Linked DNA regions of Rhinolophus ferrumequinum. The protein of the gene in region 1 interacts with the protein of each later gene in a pairwise test. Links are inferred from orthologs where the notes say so. Each region holds a gene or a part of one and is shown on either strand. Other genes may lie near its edges.

Region 1 (11,945 bases):
ATTGTGACAATGAGATCTCCTTCCAAGGCCAGCTCCACTCCCCAGAGGCAACGACTGTTAGAGTCTGTGTTTCCTTCCAGACATTCAACAAACATCCTTTCAACTGATTCTTACTAAGGGGTTACTACGTATGCCAAGCACACAGTATTTTTGCCTTCCGTATCTCTTCTCAACACAGAAGCCAGAGGTCAGATCCGGTTCCTTCCCTACTCCCAACTCTCCCTTGAGGACCCCGCCAACTCAGAGTAAAGGCCAAAGTCCCTACAATAGCCATGACCTGCCCTCTCCCCTTGAGCTCTCAGACCTTCCTATAACTCCCTCCCTTGCTCCCTCTGTTCCAGCCACATTACCTTTTTTTATTGTAGTAAAATAGACACAATAAAATATTTATCATTTTAACCATTCACAAGTGTACAGTTCAGTGGCATTAAATACATTCACAATGTAATGTAACCAGCACCACTATCTATACCCAAAACTTTTCCCTCGGCCCCCCACAAATCTCTGCATCTATTCAACACCAACTCCCACTCCTCCCCTCCCCCCAGACCCTGGTAATCTCTACTCAACTTTCTGTCCCTATGAACTTGCCTCTTCTAGATACTTCATGTAAGTGGAATCATACAGTATTTGTCCTTCTGTGTCTGGCTTATTTTGCTAAGCAGAATGAAAAAGGTCCAACCATACGGTAGCATATATCACGTCATTCCCTTTTATGGCCGAATAATATTTTATTGTACGAAGAGATCACATTTTGTTTATCCATTCATCCAGTAATGGGCACGTGGGTTGTTCCTACATTTTGCCTATTGTGAATAACGTCGCTATGAGCATGCGTGTTGACCTCATGACTTTTACTTTAACCTGCCAGGCATGCTCTGCCTTAGGGACTTTGCACTGGCTGTTCCCTCTGCATGGAAGTTCTTCCCCAAGAGATCCACATGGCTCATTCCTCACTGCCTTCAGGTCTTTGTTCAAATGGTGCCTTCTCAGTGACCCCCCTACTACATACTGCGACCTGGCACTTCCCATACCCTTTACTCGTTTTTTTCTTTTTTCGATGCACTTATGACTGTCTAATGTACTATAAAATATACTTCTTGGGTATAGTTATTGTTTAGTGGCTGTGTCTCTCCACTAGAATATCAGCTTCATGAGGTCAAGAACTGCTGCCTGGTTTAGCTCAGGCACCCACGTAGCAAGGTGCTCAATACATAGGTTGTTGAATGAAAAAAATCACAGGCCTAAGTCAATTTCTGAGTTAAACTGGAGTCACAAGACTAAGGTGTTAGATGCTCTACACATCAAACTCTTCAATATCTTATTAAATACTTAAAATACCACATGTACACAGATTATTTCAAATCTGTGTTTGAATTGGGGTTAACTTCTCAACTGACTGGGCGTACATATCTCCAGAGATTTAGCTCAGAGGAATGAGTTCTGAAGCTGCAGACAACCAGTGTGATTTTCTTCTCACAACCTGAGGACCATGCTGAGCCCTTTACTCTCGTCCGTCGCCCTGGGACCCTCTTGGAGGTATGCACAGCACAGTTGAGCGGGTGAGTGGGAGCAGAAATCCAGTTTGTGACCCACTCACTAGGCACAGGGCTTGAGTTCTGGCACAGGGCTCCATCCGTGGAAGCAAGAGGGGCCTCTTTCCCATTCACCAAAGGCCCCAATAGGCTGGCAGTGGCCCTGTTTTGTCAAAGGAGATGCCAGCCGATAACCTGAAAATTGGGTGGCCTTGCAGTTCACATGTTAATACCATATTTTCTACTTAACAAGTCTGTTGAGGCTGCTACTCCCCACCAACCTCCCCCACAAAATTCAATGAATGTGCGAGTAGTTATTATTTGATTCCATTCTGACTTCCCATCTGGCAGGGCCATGACTCTCAAAGATATTTCCATGATACCAGATAGGATCCTCGCATCTCCAATGACAGTGTCTGACTCAGCTTGACACAACTGCCAAAGCATTTAAATCACACCTCCCTTCCTTTTTCTTTAACAAACATTCACATAGTCCTTCCTATGTGCCAGGCCCTGTTCCAGCACTGTATTAACCGATTGAATGCTCCATCCTAGGAGGTAGATGGTATTATTCTCCCATTTTACAGATGAGGAAACTAAAGCTCAGAGAATTTCAGTGACTGAACTGGGACCTCACAGCTGTGGGGCTGGGATACAAACCCCAGTTGACTGGCTCTGGAATCTGTGCTTAGAACAGTTATGACTGGCTACCTCTTAACTTTTTCTTGTTCTCCTTTTCTCCCTCTTTCCCTACTTATTTCTTTCCCTCTCTTCCCTTTCCTTCTCTCTTTCTCTCTTTTCTTTTGTCCGTTCTCTGCTTCCTTCCTGACCCTGAGCAGCTGCCACCTGCTTCCCCTGGTCACCACCCAGCCTGGCACACCCTTTGTCAATTCTCCAAACCAGGCCCTGCCCTCCTGTGACCCTGTCAGTCCTTTGGTCATTACTCTGTTTTCCCTGTGCCAGCAGATGGGGTGTGCCAACCTCTGTCTCCTCAACCTACCTGCTCATGACCACAGCAGCAGTTGTCAGAGGCCTGGGCCAGCCTGGAGGGAAGCTGGATCTTTGGGGAGTTACATGCCGTACCGCACACCTTCCCCTAACATACGCTTACTGACATTATGATTTCCCTCTCCTGCACAGGTTTTTTAATGTCATGCCAAGACATCTTGTGCTGCTTGAGATGAACTTAAACAATAAGGGGTCAGAAAGAGAGAGAGAGAGACAGAAACAGAGACAGAACTCTAGGCCAGAAGGCAAAGGTGAAGGAGCCCTTGTCTGAGACTCGACCCTTAGACGGGGCTCGCCGTAGTGCTGGGAAGATGTAGTGCCTTCATAGTATCACTCTAGGTATGAATGAATTTTTCTGTTTCTCAAAGGACACATGTTCTTCCCCAGGACCATGCTTTTGCATATGCTGTTCCCCAGGCCTGGCAAGCGCTTCTTGATCATCTCTACTTGAGGGCTCTGCGCATGTGTTGCTGCCTCTGGGAAACTTTCCCTGAATTCCCACAGGGGGTTTCATCAGCCAGAACATCTGCACACATGTGCACACTTCTCTTTCTCTCTCTTTTCTTTTCTTCCTTTCTCCTTCTCGTTCTTCTTCTTCTTTTTTTTTTTTTTTAACTAATTGGATTATGTTCCCTGCCAGCTGAGGCCTCCTTGAAGACTGAGACTGTCTTGCATGATTCTCTTCACTTCCTCTATCTCTATGCCTGGGACATGGTTGGTCCCCGGAAAATGCTGAGAGATGAAGAAAAGCTCAGAGATCAGGCCTTCACAAAGGAAGGATAAGTGGGGGTTGTGAAAGTCTCAAGACAAGATGACTCTGGGTTCAGTACTTAACAGCTGTGTGATCTTGGGTAAATTACCTAATCTCTCTGTGCCTCAGATTCCTCACTTACAAAATGAGAATAATATTAGTTTGTACCACATAGGGTTATATGAGGATTAAATGAGTTAAAACATGTAAAGCACATAGAACAATGACTGGCACATGCAAATCACTCAGTGAATATTAGTTATTATTACTAATATTAAAATAGAATTAATAATAGAGCTGCCCAAAGGATTTAAATAATGAAAGTGCTTTTGATAAACTGTAAAGCATACAGGAAGATCTTTGCCACCATCATTCTTAAAAATATCAATAGAATAGCAGTGGCTGATCCAGCATGATTTCCGGAATTAATTCACAAGCTGCCGGCCACATTACTACTTTTTTGAGTAAATGAAATGGTGAATGCGACACTGGCTTTTGTAAATGATAGAATAACAGGCAAAATCATGATGGTTTAATAAAAGGTTCATCACCTGACTCCAAACATAGTCCTGCTGATAAGTGTGGCCAGTTCTGGGACTTATCCGGCTCCATACATTCAAGAAGGTGTTTTCACTCTTTTGGTTACTCGGAAACAAGGCAGGAGGTGGCGGTGGGTAGGTAGAGCTGGGACTGATGCTTTGCTTCTGACAGGTTGGCAAGTCTCTTGTCTGTGCCAATACACAAAGGGGAGTCACTGTCTACTCCTACCAACCCTATAAAGTTAAAAAAAATACATATTTTTTGGGCTATCAGATTGAAAAAAACAAAAGAGCTCGAAAGTCTTTAGAACCCATTTTATCTGTTTAGATGGGAAAACTGAGGCCAGGAGAGGGAAAGGGAACAGTTGAAAGTCACACAGTAAGGTCTCTGAACCCCCTACCTCACTGCCCTTCCACTGGCGCTTGCTTTCCAAAATCTCTATGCTCCCCACACTGGAAGCCCCACATCCTTAAATAGAAGGTGAGGCAAGCCCAGCACTAGTTGCAGAATCAGTGCTCCAATTTAGAGGTGGAGCCACTCCCCAGCCCCCACCCCCCAACCTCCCTCTGCCCTGGCAACCACCAATACTTTCTTTGTATCCATGAGCTGTTCTTTTTTCCCAAAGATTCCACATACTCATATAAGTGAGATCATACAGTGTTTGTCTCTCTGTCTACTTATTTCACTTAGCATGAATGCCTTCAATGTCCTTAGGTCCATCCATGTTGTTGCAAATGGCAAGCTTTCATTCTTTTTAATGGCAGAATCATATATATATATATATATATATATATATATATATATATATATCACATCTTTATCCGTTTATCAATCAATGGACACTCAGATTGTTTCCATGTCTTGGCCATTATAAATAATACTGCAATGAACATGGGGCGGGGGGTGGGGTGGGGCATACATCTTTTTGAGTTTAGTGTTTTCATTTTCATCGGCTAAATGCCCAGAAGTGGAATTGCTGGATCATTTGCTAGTTCTCGTTTTATTTTTTTGAGGAACCTCCATACTGGTTTTAGATAGTGGCTGCATCAATTTACATTTCCACCAACAGTGTACAAGAGTTCCCTTTTCTCCACATCCTCGCCAATACTTGTTATTTTTTGTCTTTTTGATAATAGCTATTCTAACAGGTGTGAGGTGGTACCTCATTGTGGGTTTTTTGGTTGTTGTTTGGTTTGGTTTTTGTCCACGTGGGAATTATACTGTATGCGGTGTTTTCTTCCAGTTTTACTGAAAAACAATTGACATACATCACTGTATAAGACATACAGCATGGTTTGATTTACATGTTGTGAAATGATTATCACAATAGATTCAGCTAACATCCATCTTTTCATATAGATGACAACCAAAAGAAAAGAAAAAAGGATAAAGCAAAAAAAAATTTTTTTTCTGTGAGAACTCTTAGTATTTACACTGTTAACAACTTTCCTGTATATTATACAACAGTGTTAGCTATAGTCATCATATTGCACATTACATCCCTAGTACTTATTTATCTTGTAACTTTTGACCACCCTCCTCCAATGTCCCTTCCTCCACCCCTTCATTGCAGTTTTGATTTACATTTGAAAATGTCAGATTTCCCACAGATTTGACCACGCTGTCTACCCTCTGAATGGATACTTCCTCTCATTATAAGTCTCCACTCTCATGTGGTTCTATTCCGGATCTTTCCACAACCTCCAAGTCTCCAAAATATTCCTTTTATCTCTAGCCCTCAAGAACTTTGACTCAAATTAATTTAGAACTGTAGCTGGGGGTAGGGTAGGAGGCGTTAAAGACCCCACCCCCAACCCTGCTGCCTCATTCATTGCACACCTTGGTCGAAAGCTAAAGAATTACATCATATACAAGCTTCTGTTTTCCCACCTGTACCACGGGGTGGAGAGCAAGGGGCTGGCTTTAACGCATTATACGTAAGTACCTGGGACGTCAAAACGTTGCAAAATTACTGAGCTCACCCTGCTGGTTCTTACAGCGCCTGCGCAGAAGCCGCCGGTCGCCCAGCGCTTTTGGAATCTGTCGCGGCCCCTTTCGCGCGCTGGAAGACTCGGCGCTCCGTGGGCGTCTGTCAGCCTGTCTTCCGGTTTCGGTGCTGCCACAGGAGCGCCTGCCGAGCGCCAAGTAACCGATGGAGATGGCGGCCGCGCCGGTGTGATGAACCGTGGAGGCCCAGAGCCCGTGCCAAGGTCTGGAAAGGCCTGCGAGCCCGCGGGAGACTGGCCGGTTACCGAGGGTTGGACTGGGCCTAAGGGGCCGGGCGCTGCTCTCTTCGGGCACCGAGACGGGCGGCCGAGCGGGTGTGGGACCGTGAGGTTGGGGTGGGTGTGACATGCGTAGTGGAGGAGGTGGCTTTCGGGTCTTGCTGTTCGCTCGTGTGTGCTTGCGTTGAGTGGGCTCTGTTTGGGTGTGTGGTGTCGCGGGGCGTGTACAGTTGTGTGTGGTTGTGCGGCTGAGGGGTGGGTGGGTGGTCGTCTCCCGGGTGGTTGTGTTTGGTTCTCTGATTGTGTGAGGTTGAGGCGTTTGGGGTCTGAGTTTTTGTGTTGTTTGTAACGTTTGGTGTGGCGTCTGTGCGATGTGTGAAGTTGTCATGTCTGCCCTGCGCGGGTGAGTCTTTCACGTTGTGTGTACTTTTGCGACGTGTGCCTAATCGTGTTGAGTGAGGTGGAGGCGGGTTGTGTGCGGTCGTGAGGCTGTGATGAGTGCGGCTGTCTCTGCGGCATCGGCTGAACGTATAGGTGCAGAATACGTAGGTTTTATTTTTATGTTTTGCTCGGTGTACAGTGTGGGCTTGCATACGTTATGGTTGTGGGGTTTGGCTTGGTGGTTTGTGGTAGATTTCTTTGGTTTGTGGTGTGTGTTTGGTTGTCTGATCTTACAGTTCATTCATTGTGTTTCTTGTAGTTTGTGCCAAACATTGTGCCAGACCTTGGGGATATGGTGGTGGAAAAACAGACATGGAATCTGCCCTCACCGAGCTTCCAGTCTCATGTGTTCAGTTACTTTATACACTTGTGATTATAGATTGAGATCAGTGCTGTGTAGAAGTGCAGGGGCTGTCAGATGGGAGGAGGCCTCAAGTCAGAGGCATTTCCTTGAGGAAGTGAGGTTGGATGGAGATGTGAAGGGTGTGTGTGTGTTTGATTTGCGGTATTAAGGGTGAATTCACAGAACAGAAGGGGGCTGTCAGAGTCAGGGTGTCAGATGAACCACTGGGTGGGAAGAGAACTGGAGCTGCTATTTCAGTGACTATCTGGAAACGCGGTGAGATTTGCTTATATATAGTCATTGGGTTTCTCAGCTAGAGGAAAGAAACAGACTTTGTTTATTTTCTGGGTCACTGCCACCCTTCAGGTTTGAGGACCAGGCCGTCCCACCTCAGTGGCCCTCTACGCAGTGGTCCGTCTAACCTGAGGGTCATACAGTCCCCCTTACTCTCTACTGTGGTTAGTGAACTCAAGCTCTTGGGGAGAAATTTCTCTGCTTTTGTGAAGTGGTTTTGTGGTCTGGGTTCTCCTTATGACCGGGAGTCTTTCTGAGGTGACATTGGAAGTGACTTTGCCATGGCCCAAGAAAACTGAAACTGTAACTTACTAAGCCCTGAATTGTTTAAGCACGAAATCCTTTGATTTTTAAAGCTGTGAGAACTTTTGGCTTCCTGCTCAACTGTCACTACTGGTTTATAAAATATAGTAAGTTCATTGGAGAGAAAGTGCTTTACAAGTATAAAACACAAAATAGATTTTTCTTTTTGACCACTAGGTTTCTAATGCTCCTCCTTAGACTGAGGTAGGGATTTTTGTTTTGTTTATTAGGGCAGGCACTATCTCTTTTTTATTGTTGTATTTTTGACATTGGTGCAAGAGCTCAATAGATGTGATTGAATCAATGATCAAAATACAGAGAGTTCAAGAAAAACTCCTATTTGTTGATAAATACTTCAGACATTACTCCTATGATCTACAGATTATGAAGTTGGATCATTTGGAATGAATGTTAGAGAATTGCCTGGGTATTGTGTTTGCTGTTGAAGTTGAATTTTCCTTTCGTATCTTCAAGCATCTGTGCTTCCCACTTTATTGAGCTGCCGTTGTCCTGTGATGTTCTTCTATCTTAGATGGTTTTATGTTTTGGTCTAAGGATTTGAGAAAGCAGTTTGCGTTCTCAAACATGTACTGAACAAACATTAAGTATCCTTGTTGAATGATGGAAAGAACAAAGAGAATTCTGAATTGCTGCTAATTTGCCTGATTGGCTTTCCCCCGCCCCTTCTTCTTTCCTTTCTTAAGGCTTCTCCCACGGACTCCAGTGAGGAAACCTCGCCCAGGGCCATGATACCACTTGCACATCATCTGTGTGCTGCCTGGTTAAGTTAATGCTGCGGGAGCCCTGGTCCTTTGCGGAGGAATCCAGCTGAGGGTTGGCATGAGGCTCCTGCCTTGTGCGGGTTGAGAGGGACACTGTCATGGCCTCTCTGGATGACCCAGGAGAAGTGAGGGAGGGCTTCCTCTGCCCTTTGTGCCTGAAGGACCTACAGTCTTTCTATCAGCTTCAGTCCCATTATGAAGAAGAGCACTCCGGGGAAGACCATGATGTCAAAGGGCAAATTAAAAGTAAGAGGCGAGGAGTTTGCTTATCCCGTTCTGTTCGTGGGAGCTTGAACTCCTGGGGTGGTTTTCATCAGCTTCTATGTTGCCTCTGGAACATGATATTAACAATCATAAATGGATAACAATAGCCACAAACATTTATCTAGCGCTTACCACGTGCCAGGCTTTGTTCAAAGTCTTCCCATGAATTAACTTCATTTAATCCTCACAATAGCTATGCTGCGATGAGCCCCATTTTACTGATGAGGGTATCAGACACAGAGATTAGATAACCTGCCTAAAGTCACACAATGAGGCAGAGCCCGGCTTTGAACCTAATAAATGTAGTTACTGTGCTCTGCTGACTGAATTGTCTCATTGCCAGCCTCCGAGGGTTTTGGAGTGGAATTCTTTTCCTTTGCTATGCAAGTGGAGGCACATTGTTGACTCATTTACTTGTCATAAATTCAAGCCTTCCTGCCATTCTTCTTTTTTCAACTAGACCTTGTCCTCTGCAGCTCAGGTAAAGGAAGGTCATAGTTGAAAAGCAAAGAAAAACGACCCCGAAAATTAAAACTTACTATTTGAGCTTTCAAGGGCTCAGGTGTTGGAGAGTTGCAGAAATTTTGACTAAACAGCATTCATTTCCTGGACTTCAGATTCTAACCCCTAACTATGATGCCACTGCCTTGGAACTCACTTTTTCGTTTTCGGCTAACCTTACATCTGGTCGCATTTCTGAAGGCAATGCGACTGAAAAGATCTGGATGCTGTTTTCACAAGTCTTTGTTGGGTGGGACAGAAAGGAATGATCATGTATTCCTACCATGTTTCCCCGAAAATAAGACCTAAGCCCTAGCATGATTTTTCAGGATGACATCCCCTGAACATAAGCCCTAATGCGTCTTTTGGAGCAAAAATTAATGTAAGACCCGGTCTTATTTTCCGGGAAATGTGGTATGTGTACTTTGGCCTCCGCACATATGAGTCATATGTACCCGGTAATCAAATAGTCACACTCTATGTCATATTTTTCAGTTCAGAAAAAAAGAATTGCTGAAAGCATTAACAACTTCTTTTCAAAAGCATGACAAAGTAAAACAGTTTCAAAATCCTGAAGACGGTGATGACCAGGTGGGTTCTGGCTGGAGCAGAGCCATAACTGTTAGAAGCTCTCCGCCCTCTCCCCCCAAAAATGCTGTTTGCGCTTTATAGTTTTCAGAGTTCTTTCACATATAATTTCATTTGATTCACCCTGCAGTAGGGTGGTTGGGCTCATCTTACAGAGAAAAAGTGAGGCTCAGAGAAGTTGAATAACTTACTCAAAGTCACAGAGGAATTGAATTCAAGAGCTAAGCCTTGAACCCATGTCTTCTATCACCTCTGAGACTACTGCTGCTCTTTCCACATGAGATCACTGATGATGTGAGGCCCTGAATTCCAATTCCCGCATGTGCTGCAGCTGGAAAACAAACAAACAAACAAACTGATTATCTAAGTTCCTTTGGACAATTGAATGGCCTCCATGATTTTCAATGAGTGTCCAGTCTTAGCTGAACCGCGTCATGTACTCTGAGACGACTAAGACTTTGATGCCAGTGGGTAGAGAGGTGGTAGAATGTCCTCCGATTCCTCTGATAACCCTTTTATTAGAAGAAAAATGTTTAAGGTTATTTAGGGAATAATAGACATGGGAATCTATTTAGAGAATACTAAATAGAGTAGAAATTTTGTTTCTTGTAAAAGAAACTTGCAAGTATTCACTTGTTTTTCTCCCTCCTTTTTCCCCCCATCTCTACCTCAGAAGAACTAAATTGAGTTAAGCATTCTTTAGTAGGGAAGGAATTCTTGATTATGTGTTTCAGAATCAGGAAAGTAAAGTTTTAAAGATTGACATCAAAGATTTTTGAGAAAATCCTTTGAAAAGCAGATCACCTCTCCATTTGGTCTTTTGATTCTTAGAAATTTTGTGACATTGCTAGTTTAGGCAAGTGAAATGTTAAAACCAAAAGAGGGGACCTTGGTTTTAACATTTCACTTGCCTAAAGTGAAAGTGAAATGGTTTCAGGTTTTGGAGGCAGTTTAAAAAAGAAAATTTAAACTTGACATTACTAAAAAGTGGTCAGTGGGTTTGGGTCCGAGACATGGTTCAGCTTCAGTTTAGCATATCTACAGTCAGTAGAAGAAAAAGTGGTTGAGAATTTGCTTTTGCTTTGTGTTTTAAAAAACATATGGGATTGTTCTTAATTGGCCCCTCTGAAAGGGCTACACCCACCCTGGGAAGGTTGCCAGACAGTTTTTCTATGCCTCTTACAGTGGTAAAATGGCATGGATTGCCTGTTTAACTTGACATAGTTTAGTCTTGTTTGCAGAAATGAATTGGTGTTTGCTAACTCCAATTTTCTGTCTGTTAGACTCTTTATTTACATCAGACACTGTCCTCTTCACTGTTGTTAAGAAAGACTAATGTACAAAGTCTCATAATTAAGTTTGTGAACTTGTTGCAACGTTGCTAACCTTTTTTGATATCAGAGGGATTATTCATTATGAATTTGTACCAACTGGACAAACAGTTAACCTAGTATTTAGAAGTGCTGAAAAGGCTGCGTGAAAAAGTTAGATAGCCTGAACTTTTCACCAACAATTTATGGCTCTTGCATCACGACAAGGCACCAGCTCACGGCACTGTCTGTGAGAGAGTTTTTAGCCAGTAAACAAATAACTGTATTGGAACACCCTCCCTACTCACCTGATCTGGCCCCCAATGACTTCTTTCTTTACGTGAAGATAAAGGAACTATTGAAAGGAAGACATTTTGATGACATTCAGGACATCAAGGGTAATACAACAGCTCTGATGGCCATTCCAGAAAGAGAGTTCCAAAATTGCCTTGAAGGGTGAACTAGGCGCTGGTGTCGGTGCATAGCTTCCCAAGGGGAGTACTTCGAAGGTGACCGTAGTGATATTCACCCATGAGGTATGCAGCACTTTTTCTAGGATGAGTTCGCAAATTGAATTGTCAGACCTTGTATTTTAGAGGATGTCCTTTAGTTCTGGTGGACCTTATTTTTCCGGTTGGAGAAAGCTATATCACAGTGACTGATAATCAAGGAATTTGCTTATTAGTCTGACTGTCTAACAAAGACATGTCTATATAACCTTATCAATTTCACCTCCTACCTGCCAGCCCCTCCCTATCTACATTTACCTATATTTTTGAAAAGCAGTGGCAGTGTTTTTAGTGTTATTCAAGTGACAGAGCACTTCAGAATCATGGGAACTCCATGAAGTATTGATCTATTAAATGTAAAAAAAATTACGCATATATCATTTTTTATTATATCTGGTATTTTCTAGTGGCAGAAGGGATAGCAGTCACCTAAGATTTAAGAACATTGATGAGAGCAACAGGATTGAGAATTCTTTTCCCACCAGTTGAGTGTTATTCCATTAACAGTCCTCTCACCTCAGCAAAGGTGGTGGAAGCCCTATTTTGCAGAG
Region 2 (12,155 bases), on another chromosome or scaffold:
GAGCCGTCAGATAGCTCTGATCTTATGCCCGAGACGTGGTGTGGTTCCCCCATCTGCAGTCCCATAAAGCTGTCCAGATGGTCACTCTCCACTCTGGAGTTATCTGGTTAGGGTGTTCACTGGGTACACCTTTCACAGCATGCTCTGGCGTGATGCCACTTTGCGACTGACATAGCTATCAGAATTATTAGTGTCCATTTTACATTCATAATTAATGCTCTATACAGTACTTCTGGGTCATGAGTCTACAAATGTAATATCGGGGCTGGCCACATAGTACCTGAGGGAAGGGTATCTTGTTCCTAGCTGTGGGGACAGAGCCCCAGAGAGCAGTTTCCAGGCTCTCGGCCTCACGTGGAAAGGTGCTGGCTCCGGTAGTAGATGGCCATCTGCTGTGGCTAGTTGGCCATCAGCTGTTACCAGTTAGCCGTTAGCCACTGATATAACTGCCGTGGCTGCGTTGGTTGGTTGGCAGGCAGAAAAGTGGATGGTGGATTGCGGATCATGTGGATCCTACTTTCTATGTGTGTCTTGCCCAGCTGCCAGCGCAACTGCGGGGCAGGAAGGCCCCTCGTTGGGGTACTGGCAGATGTTTGCTCCCTGTGTCTCCAACCCAGCCACCAGCGAGAATATAGTGGTATGACTCCCCTATCTATGGCTCCCTGGGTGTTCCTTTTTGGCCTCACCATATCCTGTGTTCTTGTGTGGGGAGCGGGACCAGAGACCCTGCATGACACGCCACATGACACTAGCCTTTTACTTTTTGTTTTTGACAATTATGAAACCTTCAGAATAGTTGCAAGCAAAGTACAATGAACACTCATATACCCTTCATTCAGTTTCACTAACTTAACATTTTGCCATATTTGCGCGCGCGCTCTCTCTCTCTCTCTCTCTTCCCCTCTCTCCCTCCCTTATACACACACACACATTTTTTCTGAACCATTTGAAAGTAAGTTAAGGAATATTTCAACATGTACCACCTAAGAAAAATGACATCTCTTACACAACCACAACACAGTTACCACTTTTAGGCATAGTGACAGTGACGCAGGACGATCATCTGATACGCTGTCCACTTCTGGATGTCTCTGGTTGTCCCAGTAAACTGGGATCACGCCCCACATTTGATGGCCAGGTGTCTTCAGTCTTCTTTAAGCTGAGCCACCCTCAGCCTCTCTTTGTTTTTTTAAGACCTTGACATTTTTGAAGAGTACAGGCCAGTTTTGTAGAATGTCTCTCAGCTTCCCTCAAATGTGTCCATGATATAAAATTTGGACAATATAGGAAAGTAAACAAAAATTGTGCCAGCTCCTATGACGCAAGGATAGCCCTGTAGACATTGCCCGTAATCACTCAGGTTAGCTGCCTTCCCTGTTCTGTGTGCTCTGCACATTCACATTTAATCCTGCATGCTAGGTGCGTTGGTATCCCATTTTACAGCTTGTGTCCTTACAGTTTGTGTCCCAGACACCTGGTGTCTTGCTAAAGATGACACAGGCTTTAAGAGTTAAACCCGACTAAGCACTTGCCCTTTTGCTACACTGCCTCTCAATAGTGGATGGCAGTGTGTGTGTGTGTGTGTGTGTGTGTGTGTGTGTGTGTGAAGCCAGATCACGCTCTATTCAGTTTTGAAATCTGCTTTCCCAGCTAGCGGTACTCCGTGATAACTTTAGTTTCCTTCCATTTTCTTCTTAACTTCTGTTGAATGGCTGCCAAGTTTTGCCAGTCAACAAAAGTGTTGATTGACAAAAGGACAAATCCATTGCTACAGTAATCTATTGCTGTGCAACAAATTACAGGTATCCCCCCCCTGCTATAAGAAAGTAGAGTGTTCCTGTGAAACCTTTCATAAGTAGAAATGGCATAATGCAAAGAAGCAATGGCCATTCATTTATATGAAAAAAATGTTGAGTGGTCCCAGACCCCTGGGCTCCAGAGGCCTCTGTGGGTGCCAGGACTCTGGCTTGGAGGTGACACAGTGTCAGGGGTGCTCGGGATCTCTGCTTCCAAATCTCAATGAGAAGAAGTTGGAGGCCCAGGCGTGTAGAGTGCCTTCCTCAAAGTCTGAATGAGAAGCTGAGCCTTGGGAATATTAACACTGTGCTCTTTCCGTACTCGAACCATTTGAAGTCACAAGGTGGGAGCTGGAGGCAAAGCAGAGGAAGAGGGTTTCGAGAGCCTCTTTCTCAGGTACAGCCTGGGGTGAACTCTGCCCTCAAGCCAGAGCCCCACACCTCACTCCACCCCACCCTGCTTAGCCGCCTGGGGGCCCAGCCTGCGTTTTACTGGGGTGCTGTGTAACCTCTCAGTGCTTGGCAGAGCTGAGCCAAAGGCCTCCAACCATTTTGATGGAAACTGTATGTCAGGCTGGAGGTGGGGCCCCCACTGCAGGGCTTCCAAACACCTGTCTCTGTCTCTGGGGCCTCTGGCCCCATCTTGCAGGGGCTGCTGGAGCAGACGCTGTGCTGAGGGTGCAGTGTTCAGCCCAAACTCCCTGCAGAATGCAGGCACCGTCCCAGCTGTGCTGTGGACACATTGCATTTGGGGACAGGAAGTGGTTTATCACTTGGTACATGAGGATTCTGTCTTCTACAGTGATACCACCATGGGTCCCTTGGCACGGGCTTGGGGGTCCCCTTGCTCTACACTGATGGAAATGGCGGGTATAACCCTGCGGTCCTATGATCACGGCAGCCTGAGGGTACATGACGTGCTGTGGATGTTGCTGCCTGAGTGACCAGGGTCTTAGCCGAACCTGTGTGCGTGCAGCCACTTGACCTCCTTATGTCCCCTGCAGGCAGGTGCATCTGCTCCAGTTGCCTCTCCCTCCCATGGCCTCTATCCCCTTTTCCCCCGTGGCTGGGACACAGTCTGAGCCTCACTGTGGGCCTCACAGGCTGGGGGCTGGAGAGTAATTCTGGCCCCGACCATGTGTCACACTCAGCGTTCGGGTCACTGAGCCCACCCCTTCCTCTGGCCCAGCCTTCACATCCACACCTCAGGGAGGGTCCGACATTGTACCCAAGGCCTCGTCCACTGCTGCCTCTTCGGGAGATGGGAGAGAGGCCTTGTGGAGTGGAGAGGACGCCCTTCTCTGGCTGGCGCTGGAGACCCTGGATTGCCAAGGAACCGGCCTCCCGAGTGCTTGACCTTGTTTTGGCCAAACTGATCTGTTGGCCACATCTGTTCCTGTGACTACAAGACCCACAAGCTGCACTGATGTGCACATTTTCTCAGTGGACAGAATGAACCACTCCCAGAGACAAACCTATGTTTTGGGCTTTTTCCAGCCTGATTCTTCTGCCATATTTGGAGAGAAACTGTTTTTTTTTTTTTTTTGAAGTTGTTTTTAGGGGCCTTGTAGACACTTCTCTAGACCAGGACATCATGGGACTGCTCTGAGGGAAAGCAGGTGGCCCCTTTCTGGTTGCTGAGTGCAGTCTCAGGGAGACCTAGTGGCACCTCAGGGCGGGGTTTTTGCGGGTGTGTTTGTGAGTTTGAAAGAAGAAAACACTGGGAGTGAGGCACATCAGAGAAAAAGGAAATATCTGAACCCTTCCTCAGTTTTTTTCCCGGGAATCCAGGAAAACACAAACAGAAAGTGAAACGGAGGAGAAACCAAAAGTGAAATGGTTCATTCACATTTCACAAAACTTTCCCATTAAATGGAAGTTACCGGTATGTTACTCAAAAAAAAAAAACACCCAGAAGGACATTTTCCCAGTCTGGGGCAATACTAGATAAGGAAGCTGCCCAGGACCTGGGTGCAAAGTCTGTGAAATTGGGGAAACTAATTTCCGCCCACTTGAGCCTCATGAAAGAACCCCTCTTCCAGTCCTTTGAGCTCCTTGGAGAAAGCCAAGTGGCCATACAGAAACAACAGGGTTCATTTATAAATAACCCAGGAACATTCTGTTATTTTCAATTTTATAGGGCTGGATTTTCCTAGCACACAGGGCTCTGGGGAGATGTGCACACCATGGTGGGTCAGTGTGAGTGTTGCCGGGGACCTAGCTCCTTGAAGCCTCATTCAGGCCACTGAACAACCACCTCTTTCAGGATCCTCAGCCCCGGGCCCTTCCCTGGAACAGCTCAGAAGTTGCATGTCCGGGGTGGACCCCTTAAAGCGTCATGTAGGAGGCAAGACCTTTGGCTCTAAGGCTGGCCCAGGAAGTCTGGACTGGGCCCGCCTGAGGCTTCTTGTCATCAGCTGGCATACAGCCTATGGTGACACCCTGTCTAGGAGTCTCAGTATTCTCTTTTGAGAAGAATGCCCAAAAAAGGGTCTCATGGCTTTTCACATTTTACTGTGGTTGATGAAAAGAATGCTAATACAAATAAAAGGAGTAAATCCGGGACCTAAGATTGCAGGCAGTGCTCTCCAATGCTTAGCGAGGGAGAGGCAATCAATTTAACATTACTTATTCCCTCAGAAGGCACTGAGGCCTGACCTTACAAGGGGTGGGCAACCAAACCTCCCATATTGCCCCCTCTGGCTCCCAGTTGACTCAGCTCCCCTAATATTCTGCCTGTTCTGAGTTCCTGCCTCTGTCCTCTTAGCCTGCCAGCCTGCTTTCTTCCCTGATATAGGCACCCTGCCCTCCAGGTTGCCACATCTCCCAGAAGCCAGAAAGTTGGACGTGAGGGCTTCAAGTGCCTAGCTACATTTTAGATCTGTCCAGGAGCCTCCCGGACCCCCTCTGGCACTTTGGTGTCCTGTACTGGTTACATAACAATCACAGTCCCCAAAGCTCTGACATCACCCACTGAAGATTCTCACCAGCCTAGACAGCCCAGTGGACTTCCACTTGTGGCCAAGGACCATGGCAGGGGAATGAGCCTAGTGGAACTGCCTGGAACTGGTAAGCAGGGGTGAGGGTTGGGGCTACAGGTCAGCATGAAAAACTGGTAACTGGTGGTGACCCTGAGAGGAAAGCGGAAGTATTTGGGTTTTTTAATTTCCCCTAAGTTCCCACAAGATTTCACTGTTGCTCCATGTTTCCCCTCCTCCTCACATAGGTAATTTCCAATTTCACTTCCTCAAGACTCATGCGGCCAGGCAGCCTCAACTTCCTCTTTACCCTCTCCCACCCTCCCCCAGATGCAGTCTTTTTGAGGAGGCCGTCTCTTCTCCCACCACATGTCATATGTCATATTCGCCCTCTACTGCTTGTGTCCATCTCCAAATTCCCAGCCCTTTTGGCCTGAGGGGAGCTCAACTCTTGCTGGTCAGATTTTCCCCATTGGCTTCCTCTCCCTCCATTTTTCTTTACCCAGTTACCACTCCTTCTCGGAAGTTCAGCTTCCTCTATCTCTTTCTTGCCTCCCCTTCTCCCAAAGCAGACAAAGATTCGGGGATGAGAGGGAGTGGCAGGGAAGCAGGCGCGAGGAGGCAAGGAAGAGCAGTGCAGATGGGAGACGCGCGGCCCCAGGGGTCCTCCAAACTTTCCGGAGATTGAGCCGTGGGAGGAAGAGGACCGTTCATGGGGGAACTGCGGGTGGGGCGTGTAGTCAGAAAGCTGGAGTGTCTAACTGGGCGTCTCGCGGACGCTGGAAGGCACACTAGCGCCGGGACCTCCTCGCGCCCGGCTCCCGCTTCCCGTCTTCCCAACCGCAGCACTTGCACGAGTCGGCCCTCTAAAGGCGAGGCGAAACCAGGGTGGTTGCCACGGCACCCAGGCCAGGGGCGGGGAGCTGAGCAAGAGGCGCTCGCGAGATTTGCAATCGGCCAATGGGAGGCGGGGGAGGGCGGACGTGGCGTGGAGACCGCGGGCGGGGCTCTTTCCTCCCCCTCCCAATTCCTTGCGTCCTTGCGGCGGCGGCGCACATGCGCGCACCCGAACGGGAGGACGGGCCTTATAAAGGGTTCTCGATACAGCGCGCGGTCCACTCCGTAGAGGGCGCACCGCGGGCTGTGCCGTGCGCTTGCGCAGTGTGGGCCGCTCCCCGCCCCCTGCCCTGTAGCCCCGCTACCCCTCCGCCTGCCGGCCGGGCCCCGCCTCGGCTTCGCGCCCTCGCCCAGCTCACAGCCTCCGTTCTGCTCCGCAGCAGTCAGCCCCGTCTCCGGCAGCATGTTCAGCTGGGTCAGCAAGGATGCCCGCCGCAAGAAGGAGCCGGAGCTCTTCCAGACGGTGGCTGAGGGGCTGCGGCAGCTGTACGCACAGAAGCTGCTGCCCCTGGAGGAGCATTACCGCTTCCACGAGTTCCACTCGCCCGCGCTGGAGGACGCTGACTTCGACAACAAGCCCATGGTGCTGCTCGTGGGCCAGTACAGCACGGGCAAGACCACCTTCATCCGGCACTTGATTGAGCAGGACTTCCCGGGAATGCGCATCGGGCCCGAGCCCACCACAGACTCCTTCATCGCGGTTATGCACGGCCCTACCGAGGGCGTGGTGCCTGGCAACGCTCTCGTCGTGGATCCACGGCGCCCCTTCCGCAAGCTCAACGCCTTCGGCAACGCCTTCCTCAACAGGTAGCCTCTGGGGACAAGGGGGACGACCAGGGCCCCGACCCCGCACTCGGATCCCGACCCTCCCGCGGTTGCCCCTACGCCATCCTTTGTCTCCGAGGCCCCGGAGAGACCCTCAGCGACCACTCCCTGGAACAGGGTCCTCTGCCGCTTCCCATAGAAAACCTATTTGGGGCTCTGGGAGTGGGCGTCGTTGGCTTCCCCGACTTTTGTCACCCCCAGAATTTTCTAGGTTATCAGTTTAACTCCCAAAGGGCCCAGCCCTACTTCCCTCAGAACCAAGGATTAGTCTTGTTTGGCATCTCTTTCTTCCAGACTGGATACACCTAATTCATTCAAACTACCACCCCTCTTCCTTCAAGGGTTTTTCTTAAGTGTCTGGGAAAATACGGTGAAACTTTTAGCCATTCCCTTTGCTAATGTGATGTGTGCTGTGCTGTGCCTCCCCTGGGACCTGTGGTTTTGTGTAGGAGGAACGGGGAGGATGTGCTGTGGCCTGCTGAGTTTGGGGCAGCAGACAGATGAGGTTGGAACTCTCCTCCCAAAGTCTGTGGGTTTCATGAAGCAGCCTCAGGCGGTGGCCCTGGGCCCCCTGAAATGAAACACGATTCGGGCCCTGAGTTCCTCTGTAAACTCCATAGGAGGTTCCTTCATCTGTTTGGGCCTCAGTTTCCCCAGTAAAATGGGTGAAATCTGACGTCTCATGATGAAGATAATCCTCCAAGATTCTGTGATGCTCGGAATGAAACCCATTGGCCTCCTCTCTCAGGAGTGCAACAGCCAAAGCTCACTTTCCTCTAAAGGAACTGGGAAGTGCTAGTCAGTGTTCTTAAAATCCCTCCCCCCACCCCCATGGAGCATACGAGGACTTCACAGATCTGCCCTCTCTGCCACCTCCCATTCAAGGAGTGGGTCTGGGTAAGAGCCTAGGAAAGAATCCTTGACGCTTGCCTTCTAGGTCTCTGCCCTGTATGATCACATTCCTTTTCGGACACTGTCCAGCTGCTCTGCCCAGGGAGGACCAGCTTGCCCCCACCTCCAGGAACAGAGTTGACCTTTAACAGAAGACGTGCAGGCTACTGTTGTCTTCTTGCCCTTTTCAGGCTTTTAAACTCATTCTCCTGGTGTTTTTTTCCCCCTTTTTCCTCCTCCCCCACCCCCACTCCTGTTCAGGCTGTTGTTTCTCAGTCTAGTTGTATAGGACACAGCTCCCCCGCCCATGCTGGTGTTATGAGCCCTGCGCTCCCCCCGGCTGAGATAGTCTGTCGCCAGTCATTGGTCAGCCACTCACGGCAGCTCTTGCCGGCTGCCGGCCGCTCACGCTGGCCACCGGCCGCTCATGGCAGCACATGGTAGTCCATGGCAGCACACAGCAGCCCGCGACAGCCCACAGCGGTTCACGCCGACCTCCGGCTGCTCACGGCAGCCCAGCTCCAGGGAGAGCCGTTGTTCACAATCTTAGCTGTAGAGGGCGCAGCTCACTGGCCCATGTGGGAATCGAACCGGCGACCTCAGCGTTTGGAGCACAGTGCTCCAACTGCCTGATCCACCGGACCACCCCATTCTCCTGTGTTTTTAGCTGATAGCATTTGTGTGTTAGGGCCAGAGTTGAGTAAAGCTCTTTGGGGAGACTCCTGAAGAGGCGTGGCCCCTTTAGCCTGGAGCCTTCCTCTGGAAGAGGATGCTGGTGTTTTAGAATTATTGTGAATGTACATAGGGGATTGGCTCAGACTGTTGGCTGGTGGGCGTGGTGCGATCTTGTGGAAAGTTTGGCTGCTATGCTGGGAATTCCAAGCATTATTAGTTCTCTACTTTTATGCAGAACTTTGGGGAGCTAGAAGGAAGTGTAGCTATAGCTCCCTTGACGGTCCTTAGGTCTCCACTTCTGCTCGTGAGAGAAGACCTTTTCTGAAAGGAAAAACGGGCATATGGCCTGTTTTCTGGATTTGGAGACCTAAAGTTTCAGAGCTGGAAAGGATCTTAGCCATCTAGGCAACCCCCACCTCGTGGGTTCAGGAAACCACGGTCCCTGCGCCCGGCTGATTTGCCTGTCTAGCTCACCCAGCAGGTGGATGCAGCTCTGATTATGTGTGCAGCCAGCATGGCTTCTATGCAATACAAAGAAAAAGTCAGGTGTGCTGGGTCCCAGACAGGCACTTTGATGACATTGGTGCCACAGGATGCGACAACCACACTTGTTTCCTTTTTGCCACCGCCTCATCCCCAGAGGCCCCCCAAATTTTAATGGCCCTGCTGAAAGGGGCCTTGTCAGCCAAAGATGGGGTGGGGCACGGGTTTGCACGGGAACTGAGGCCTGGAGCTGTGTCAGCCTGTGCCTCCCCACTAGCCAGGGCACACAAAGGGGGCTCTTCTCTGGCTGACACAGCCTCTCCCAGCGCCCTTGAAGAGACCCATTGAGTCATGAACTTGCCTTTCCGGCCTTTTTCCCCTAAATGGCTGCTCTAAGATTAAAATCAGATGGAGCAGAGGGAGGCAGGACACAGTCAGGGTGTCCAAAGATCGTGCTGTGAAAACTCATTGCGAAACCGGTACCGCCCCCTTGTAGTTCGAGGTGAAATCTGTGCATCCTTGCTGGTGAGAACATGGGATGGGATGCATCTGTACTGCTTGTACTTTATGTTTTCCACCACACGCCCTGGGCTTTGCAGCGCAATTATTTCTGAGTCCTACAGATGTGAACTTACTCACCAGGCTCATTCGCAAAATATTTTTATGTATGTTACCACCCAGAGCCAATTCTGCTTCAAATCTTTTTAGTTCGGTGTTCTCTCCAGGGACTCCCTCCCCTAGCAGGAACCCCAGGTCTGGCACGCACTTATTTACCCACGCACAGCTCTGCTGCGCCATGGGGGAAGATGAGGTCCAATTTAGTGCACCGTGAGGGTCAGCTGGATTTGCTCTGTTGTGTTTGCAGGCCACCTCTCACCCCTGGCCAGCTGCCCCTGGCCTGTGGGCCACTGGTCACTTGGGGGGTGGTGCCAAAAGGGGAAGCTAATCAGCTCAGATTCCTCCCCCTGTTGGAAAGGCAGCTTTAAGCCTGAGTCCTATAGACAATGGGTCAGTATTTTCTTTGCTCACAATACCTTTTTCAGAGAAGTTTTGAAAGGAGCCTTTTCTGTGTCCAGTCAAGAATCTCTGCTATCAGTTGGGACAGCCCCTTGCTGTCCTGGGCTGTTCTAAATCCAGGGAGAACTTAGGCACACACAGCTAAGCCCTCACTCAGGGGTTGCCAGCCTGTCTGTAGCCTCATTCTGCCTGGACCAGCTTGGACAGTCAGAGAATGGTGTCTGTACTTGTCTGCTCCACCACCTAGCCTGTGTGGTCCCCCAGCTTTCACTGGCCACCCACTGCAGTCCCTTCCCCTGAGCAGCTGGGTGGACGGCAAGGGCCGGGCCCAGCAGCAGTGGGAAAGGACCATCTGTCTTTGGTGTGTGGAAATGTAGACAAGTGGTTGCAAATTTTAACATGGAACCCCATGGTTCCAGTGTCACCCTTTTGCTTCCCTACTGGATTGGAACGGTGACCTAGGCTCCTTGCAGTTTTCACTAACATGTCAGCAACTTGAAAGCTGAACTCTTGAACTCCGGGGGAAAAGCTAACATGAGGAAAGTGCTGATGCGGGTCGGTTTGAGCCTGCTGGTTGGATTCCAGTTAAGAGAACATGTACGGTTTTCTGGCCACCCCGGGAAACAAGACGATAGAAAGCCTCCTGTAAATTCCTTGCTTCTGGAAAGGAAGCAGAGGTGACCGTGGAGCATGGACAGCAGCGATGGCCGCGTCCTGACCTCTCTCTCTTCCGGCTCTTGCTCTCGTGCAGGTTCATGTGCGCCCAGCTGCCCAACCCCGTCTTGGACAGCATAAGCATCATTGACACTCCTGGGATCCTGTCTGGGGAGAAGCAGCGCATCAGCAGAGGTAACCGGCTCTGACACAGCCCAGGGCTACTTTCATCTGATGTCTGTGACACATGCAGCCCGTGAAGTCTGGCCCCGCCCAAATGGGAACCCATTCTCCACTGGCCTCGTGTGTGGAGCCCTGCGAGGCAGGGGCTGCTTCCTTCCTTGGCTCCCTTTGCTAAGGTTGCAGGAGCCGTCCACAGCCCGTGTTCTGTGGCTTTTGTGGTTTTTAGCCCCTGGGGCATGCTGGGAAGGACAGGATTGGGAGATGGTGCCTGGGGCTGCCTGGGAGGTCACAGGAAATTGCTCAGTATCTGGGCCCAAGAAACCTCAGCCAGTACTGCTGACTGAACGAGCCTGTGTCCCCCAGGGGCTCTTCACACCCGGGAGCTCACACCTTAGTTGGTGTTTAAAAGCTTTGCCTCCCAAAGCCATATACGTTCCTGGTGAGGCTTGCAGGCCTGTGAGAGAACAGTTTGCCTCGGAATGTGTTTCAGTTTGCTTAAATGGTGGTCAGTAGCAGCCGCCCTGGGTGCTGGGCGTGGCGGAAGGTTTTTGTGCTTATTAGCGCACCAGGCCCATTCCACTTGTATAAACTCCTGGCTCGATTTTGCCAAGATTTTCTGAAGATCTGGTTCAGGACGTGCCTGAACTGGGTTCTAATTTTGCTGTAACTGCCCCCTCCCCCGTTTGTAGAAGGGAGGGAAGCTCGGGACCTGGAGGAACTTGAGGGCAGGAGAGTGATATGTGGCAGACCAGGAGTGGAGCCTGTAGCTGCAAATGTGCAAATGGGAAAATCAGACTCAGAGAGGCGTTGAGGACAAGTGACCTGTTTGTTTATCATCAGCTTGCAGATCTTCCCAGCTCCACTTGACCTCTGGGTTGTCCAGCGTTGGTGAGCTTTGCAGTTGAAGCCAGCAGCCTTCAACTTGAGATGTGGGCAGTGTGTCTGCTGTGGCTGGGGGGGCTGTTCTTGGTGCCGACAAACTTTGCTTCTCTTCTTTTCCAGGCCTATGGGCCCCTGTCTATATAGGATGGCATGAAAGCATACTGAGCCTGCTTTATCTGTCTTTAGATCTGCCTTAAACTTTTAGGTTGTCTGCCTGTTGATAATGACACTTCTAGGAGTTCAACGGAGTGAATTTGAGGACCCTTTCTACAAAGGCCAGGGCCAGGTTTTCCTTTCTTACTGCTATTATTGTTCCTACCTGGTTTTAAGAAACCGCCTAATAAGCAAGTCTGGTCATTTGCCAAAGCCAGGCTAGAAAACCAAATCAGTTACTCTTAAAGGGAAAGACCAGCAAAAGGTCATTGATTCTCAATCTGCCTCCAGGGCGGAGCTTTCCTGGAGGGAATCTCTATAGAGCTGTCTTTGGAATGACCCAGAGGAGTAGGCAAAGGGGCTTTGCCCAGTGCTCCCAGCCCCAGTTGATACGTACACATCTTTGAATGAGGGACATTAGCTTACGAAAAAGAGGCTTAACTTCCCAGAATGCCGAGCTCAGTATGGCCTTCAGAGCTGGATGGGAGTGAAGGTATTTGAGGGAAAGGGTTTAGGGTTCTTGTGGCCCGGTTGTCCCATGAAAGGAAACTCAGAAATAGCTGTTTTCCACCGGTACTGGGAAGTTCCCCTCTGGGCTGTCTTTGACCCTTTAGCTTGTGTCCTTAGAAGCTAGCCATCTGAGAAGTTGGGAGTGTGTGTCTGATACATTAGGTACGCAGGCCCTGCCTGCTGGGATGTTGCCCTCCCCTGCCTCCCCTTC

The links.
Region 2: the proteins of RBSN (region 1) and EHD1 interact in binary tests that used the Homo sapiens proteins (3 or more experiments, as listed by UniProt). The link is inferred for Rhinolophus ferrumequinum from reciprocal best matches to the Homo sapiens genes RBSN and EHD1.

What each region holds. Positions count from the first base shown.
Region 1 is NC_046300.1:41,245,662-41,257,606, reverse strand, and holds the start of RBSN (rabenosyn-5), read left to right. Parts: upstream 1-5,855; 5' UTR 5,856-6,044; intron 6,045-8,144; 5' UTR 8,145-8,320; coding exon 8,321-8,468; intron 8,469-11,945. UniProt on the Homo sapiens protein: Rab4/Rab5 effector protein acting in early endocytic membrane fusion and membrane trafficking of recycling endosomes. Required for endosome fusion either homotypically or with clathrin coated vesicles.
Region 2 is NC_046294.1:6,688,654-6,700,808, forward strand, and holds the start of EHD1 (EH domain-containing protein 1), read left to right. Parts: upstream 1-5,856; 5' UTR 5,857-6,074; coding exon 6,075-6,478; intron 6,479-10,313; coding exon 10,314-10,411; intron 10,412-12,155. UniProt on the Homo sapiens protein: ATP- and membrane-binding protein that controls membrane reorganization/tubulation upon ATP hydrolysis. In vitro causes vesiculation of endocytic membranes. Acts in early endocytic membrane fusion and membrane trafficking of recycling endosomes.